2 separate regions of the Mus musculus genome follow, and region 2 is reported to be linked to region 1. The links are microRNA targets in miRTarBase. Many come from high-throughput screens and were not tested one by one. Region 1 holds a microRNA gene; the other region holds the end of a gene's coding sequence.
The links. The annotated mature microRNA mmu-miR-5133 reads GCUGGAGCUGCGGCAGCGCAG and lies in region 1 at 1,046-1,066, opposite strand. An mRNA with a match to its seed (bases 2 to 7 or 8) in the 3' UTR can be bound and repressed. Matches are read on the target gene's strand: a 7mer-m8 pairs with bases 2 to 8, a 7mer-A1 pairs with bases 2 to 7 and ends in A, and an 8mer does both.

Region 1 (3,081 bases):
AGATCTAAACCCTCACTCAACAGTCAGGTATTCCAGACAACATGCTCAAGTCTGGTATCGCTCCTCTCCTCTCCTCCGGAGATCAGAGCTCCGGCGACACCAGCGCGTCCCCAAAGGTATCCTGGGGCAAAGAAAAGAAAACTGCAGAACAAGCCCACTGTGTCTCCAACTAGGCAACTGCCCCGATCAAGCGTCCAACGAAGAAGCACTGAGTTAAATCTCATCGAGAAAGAGAGAGAGACCAGATCGAGACCGTCAGATACCGAAAGCCACAAGCAGTGCCATGGGGTGGCTCCTGAAACCGGGTCTGGCACCCCTGGAGACCCAGAGACCGCTGAGCCGCGCCCACACGGCAAAATCACCCTCCTTGTCGCCCCGAAAAAGAATGGGGACCATCACGCACAGTTACCGCCCCCCTCTGGGCGAAGCAGAAACCCCAATACAAATGTTGGTCTCCCCATGCACGCTTCCCGCCCCCACCCACACCCACCCAGTCCGTTCCTTCCCGGGAGGGACACGGGCATCGTCTTATCACCCCATGGCGACCTTAAACAAACCCAAGTCTCTGGAACCCTGACATCCTCCTGCTTTACCCCAGGAATGCCAAGCGGACCCCTCTCCGCTCATAGGTCTCCCCGTGCCCTCCGGACAAGGCTAAACTGTATCCCAAGCCCCTCAACTGCACGGGATCGCCAGAAATGGTCTCCAAGTCCCAGAACCGCGCTATGCCAGCACCCGGGCTCTCAGGCAGGACACAGGACGCGCTCCCGCGACCCTAGAGACCCGGGACCGCCTGGGCAGCCACCCACCCCCACTCCAAAGCCAAAGAAGCCCCGAGACCCCAGCCCCCGCCGCGTCACCCAAGATCCCCGCACTCGGAACGCCGCGCATCCCCGGGAGCCGCCCCCGTCGCGAGCCCACTTGCCACGGCCGCCCCTCAGCCACGACACGACGAGCTCCCTCACCTGAGGCGCGTCGGCGGACGAGCGGCCCCCAGAGCCCTGAGGAAAACTGAAGCGAGCGGCAGAGACACGGCGGCCCAGGCCTGCGCTGCCGCAGCTCCAGCCTCTCGGCGAGGAAGCGCTCGTGTGAGGAGAGCCCGCCCGCTCGGCGCGCTACTGGGGAGCCGAGCCGCCGCCGTGCCCGCGGCTCTTCCCGCGAGATCCCAGCCACGGTAAGGGGCGAGGCCATGCCGGGGAGGAGAGGGCGGGACGGAGGCTCTTCGAATGGCAGCTCCGTCAGCCTGTTAGATTCGGTGTAGAAGGCGGGGTCACCAAGAGGAGGGGCCATATTAAGGGGAGGAGCTATGATGAGGGGGCGGAGAGTCCTCGAATGACAGTTCCAAAAAACCAATCAACGGTGGCAGCGCAGAAGGCGGGACTCGCATTCTCCTGTGACCAATTGCAAAAGAGTAGAGCTAATTCTCCCCGCCTATCATCAATAAATTGCGGGCGAAGGTGTTGCTGACCCGATGTCAGTTTGCTACCTGGGCAGTTGCAGAGGTACTTTAGATGACGTGGTTTGGGCAAAGTTTGGTCCTCTTCGGCCGCCGTAGAGACACTTAGCGGAGAAGCTGAACTAAATAGTGCTTAAACCGAAGAGCTGTCCGTGCGTTTTCACTGCTCTCTGAAGTGAACAGGGAGGTCCCATCTGCCAGCCTGAAGACTTACAGCCTCACTTTACTCACTTCGGTCTCCTCCTTTAGTGTAGCTTTCTCCCATTTCGGACTCTCTTCCGTTTTTATTTCAAACGGCGATGATATCGTCACGGGTGCTTTAAGCTCCAACCCAGTTTATCTGGTCCAACAAAGGACCTTTCTAATTCATTTGTGCGTTCTACTTAAAGTCTTCCACAAAGATGAAGAACGAAATCTCAAACGAGTGCTAACCTAACAAACCCGAGAACTTGTATCTTTACAGACCATAGGGCCCAGTAATGTTTAGCACAGGTAGGGTATAGAGCATTCAATAAATCTAAAAGGAAGGAATGGAAACTGTGGTGCTTATCTGTACTGGCTTCAGAAACTGGGCTTTCCTAGCCTTTCCCATTCCCCCCTCACATTTAAGTCCCTTCACTCATTATTATGCCTGCCCTGTAGCTTTCCTTCATCTTCCCCTAGTCTCCCTTGCCCAACACAAAAAGTAGCCTTACTCTTTCTCAAGGTTAACTCCTGCCCTTGTGCACTGGACCTCAGCCAGGCCCAGACTCAGTCAGCTCCCCCACCCCCACCCCCACCCCCATTATCAATTTTTTAGCCCCTTTATCCCCAGAACACACTCATTATCCCCTGTTATTTGAACAGAACACAACTACCCTGCCGGTTCTATCCACTCGAGCTGCCCTGTCCTGAGAATCCCACGTCTTGAGAAAATTAAAGTGTATTGTGGTCCCCACCTTCTCATCCCTTATTTCCCTGCTACAATACTGCGTTTGCCCACACAATCTGCTGCTCTCCCAACAGTTTCAAAAGACCTCTCTCCTACTAGACAAATGGTCTCTTTGGTGGGACTTTTTCCCCAATGGCTTCTCGGAGGTTCATTGACAACGCTCAGGATGTCTTCCTTTAGCACCTGCCTAACTGTGTTCTTTTCATTCTTTAGCTACTTTTTTTTTAAAGTCCCCTCTCCTAGTTTGAAAATGGTTGAATATTGATGACTCCTTATCTTATTGCACACCTTGTGCATAATAAGAAAAATGTCCACACACCACTGCACACTCTGAGAGCCACAAATTGGTTCAGACAAAAGCTGTTAGAAAAATCCAGAGGGAAGAGAGGCAGCTCTGAAGCTTGAGCTGGGTGGTAAAATACTAGGATGGCCCATATAAATTAAAGGCAGAAATGGAAGCTTTTCAGAGAAAATAATCTAAACCAGAGCAATGATAAAAAGCATGTGAGCTGAGCCAGGCTGCAGGTTGGATGGCTCAGTAAATAGATTCCCCCATCTGGGGTGGGGGTGGGGGGCAAGATCAGAAAGGAGCCAGATAGTGAAAGGCTTTGACTACCAAGCCACAGTAATTGGACTTGATTTGGTGTTAAATGGGAAACCCGAACAAATTCAAATATTTGTAGAGGCTGTAAGG
Region 2 (3,081 bases), not on the chromosome of region 1:
ACACCCTGGCCATTGCATGGTGGTGTCTTTAGGAAAATTAAAGGTACACATATAGATACATACATAGCTCACCGCTGTGATAATATTCCTACGGACAAGCACATCTTTTTAAAAACAAGAAAACAGTAATTTGACTGAATAAACCAACCTGGTCAATAGCTTAGTGCTGAGTCACTTAAAAAACTCAATCATTAAAGAACGTGTTTATAGTGCCAGGCATGGTGGTGCACAGCTTTGATCCCAGCATTCAGGAGGCAGGGGCAGGTGATGTGAGTTCAAGGCCAGCCTGGTCTACACAGAGAGATCCAACACAGCCAAGACTACACAGAAAAAAGATGATGCTTGAAAAGAACCAAAAACCAAAACCAGAATGAGTATAGTGTGGACTTCTTTAGATATCTGTATTGCAACAACTTTAAATTATAAAGCTAGCATTGTAAATGATGTATATAATTCTCTGTAAGTTAAGAACAAAACCTTACCAACTAATTTCTTTCTTTTTTCTTTCCCATAGCAAATTAAATGAGGACCTGCAATACTAATGTGGAGAAAAGTATATTTGATCTTCACTGAGTTATTATTTTTAATGGGTTTATTTCTGCACGTGGTAATTAAGAAAGCAAGTTATATTAAGGCAATGAAGGCACACACCAAGAATGCAGTGGGGTTCTTCCTTAGGGAACAATATATACAAGCCTCTTATAGGATATCCTTAGACACATGTGGTTCATGCCTGAAATCCCAGCATATACAGGTTGAGGGGGCAGGATGACCAGGAGTTCAATATCCTCCTCAGTTGTAAAGTTAGTTTGAGGCTAGCCTGGGCTACATGAGATCTTGTCTACAAACATCAAAAGCCTACCTCCAAACCAATAAACCCTGAGATTGAATGGGGCCAGGAGAAGGTAAGGGTGGAGGATACACTTCTCATTTGGTATCAACAACTTTTTTTTTGTTTTTGTTTTTTGAGATAGGGTTTCTCTGTATATCCCTGGAACTCACTTTGTAGACCAGGAGGGCCTCGAACTCAGAAATCCACCTGCCTCTGCCTCCAGAGTGCTGGGATTAAAGGTGTGCACCATCATGCCCGGCGGTATCAACAACTATTTAACCTTAGACAAACACTTGGCATTGGCCCATATGGTCTGTGGCTGAAGGACAGAGATTCTGTAGCTAAGGCAAGAAATTAGACTGATTTTCACTGAATTTAAATCATGGTCTTGATAGTTTACAAAAAACCCCCACTTTATTCTGTACATAGCTAGCAAGAAGCTGGGAATAAAGTTACTTTTCTCCTTATGCCATTACTCTTTATTTTTTAAATCATAGGAGGGAATCACTGCTTCCCATGACGCATGTACAGCTCTCCTATAACATGCTTAACTTATATACTGTTTGCAGAGAACGTGATATATGGGGGGTGTTGGTTATGCAAGTTCTATTAGGAAAGACATGCTGTGGAAAGAAAACATCTAAAGCGTCTATATTTAGATTTTGTCTTTTGCTGTTCAGGCTTATTATGGAGGCCCACTAGGCTGGCTAAGGATCCCCTGCCCTCCTTGGCAAAAGATTGCAGCTGCAACCACAACTGCATACAAGAGGAAGCAAACAATTCCTGTTTGATCCACTCTATAACTGGCTTAAAGTTAGTTTCTTATAATAAAGGTGCAGTTATTAACACATTAGCAGTTTAAAGGACTGGGTCCAAGGCACCCGGTGGAAACCAAACACCTAATCCTATACAAAATGGCACAGTATGTATATCCTTCCTTATACTTCTGTCATCTCCAGGTCATTACAGCAATGCTATGTATAAAATAATAACAGAGATGCCTATGTATATTTAGTATAAACACATTCTCTTTTCTTTTTGTTTTTTTTGAGACAGTGTTTGTGTATAGTGTTTCTGGCTGTACTAACTCTATAGACCAGGCTAGCCTGAAATTCAGAGATCCATTTGCCTCTGCCTTCCAAGTAATGGGATTAAAAATTATCACTTTTTCCCAAATTTTATGACTAGTTGAATCCTGAATTTGAAATGCATAGATTGGCCCAGCTTGGTGGTGGCCTTTAATCCCAGAATTCACCAGGCAGAAGCAGATAAATCTGTGTTCAAAGCCAGCCTTTCTAGGACAGCCAGGGCTATATGCGACATAGACCCCCATCATAAAAACCAAACCAGTAACACATGAATTTGAAAGACTATGTTATAGGCTCTGAAAGGTATACATATGGGCTTTCTTACAAGCCTAAAAAATTAAAACAAATTCTTTCATTTAAAAATTTATTTCTAATTGACGGATAATTATACAGACTACTGCAGCATGGTGTAATATATAAATATATTAAGCTAGTTACCTTACCTATTATTTTTGTTCTTAAATTTTATTATTTAAATGCATTTTATACATGAAACATATTAATGATATTATTTTGAGAATCAAATACATAGAAAAATTTGTTCAACTTTAATACTCATATCCTTTCATACCCTAAAAATATCATTAATGAATATTTAATACTATTCAAAACTGAGGATCCTACATCTAATGTTGAATACTAAATTGTTTCAAAACATACAAAATATTCTTTGGAAATTAAGCATAGTAAAAGAACATAAAATATTAAAAATGAATCATTAAGAAATATATTCAAAAGCCCTTATATGATACCACCTAACATAAGTTAGAGGGTCTTTAAAACCTATTCTATATCTGTGTACATTGCCTTACAATCAGTTCACTCAAAAAAGATTATCAGTGTTTCTAGGAGAGAAATTATTTTATCAGTAAGTATATTTAAAAATTTTCCAAATAGCAAAAACTCTTTGAAGTTAAACATTAAGAAAATGCTAATTTCAAGCACAGTGAAAAAATTATCAATAATAGTCCCATGTTTGTAGGACACAATTTTAATATTTTCAACTGTTAATATTCAACAATTATTTTAAGATATATTTCTTTTTTTTTATGGTTTCAGGTGTTTATTGTAGAAATGCAGAGAGGGAGAACAGTAGAGAAGTAAAGGGCGGCCATGGCCACGTGGAGAGGGAAGAACGGAGGGGGAGGGCACAAGAGGGCT

Region 2: the mRNA of Svopl is a reported target of mmu-miR-5133. Seed matches in the 3' UTR shown: 7mer-A1 at 1,050-1,056.

Annotation. Positions count from the first base shown.
Region 1 is chr9:62,121,520-62,124,600 of GRCm38, forward strand. It overlaps Mir5133 (microRNA 5133), which reads right to left and starts at 1,075; the gene lies at 999-1,075. Glce (glucuronyl C5-epimerase) reads right to left here and starts at 1,090. Exons shown (of 5, transcript NM_033320.5): 1 at 966-1,090.
Region 2 is chr6:37,981,957-37,985,037 of GRCm38, reverse strand. It overlaps Svopl (SV2 related protein homolog (rat)-like), which reads left to right. Exons shown (of 16, transcript NM_177200.4): 16 at 515-1,299. The coding sequence ends at 526. Among named protein-coding and RNA genes, the nearest start is that of Gm33494, 49 kb to the left of the region's middle.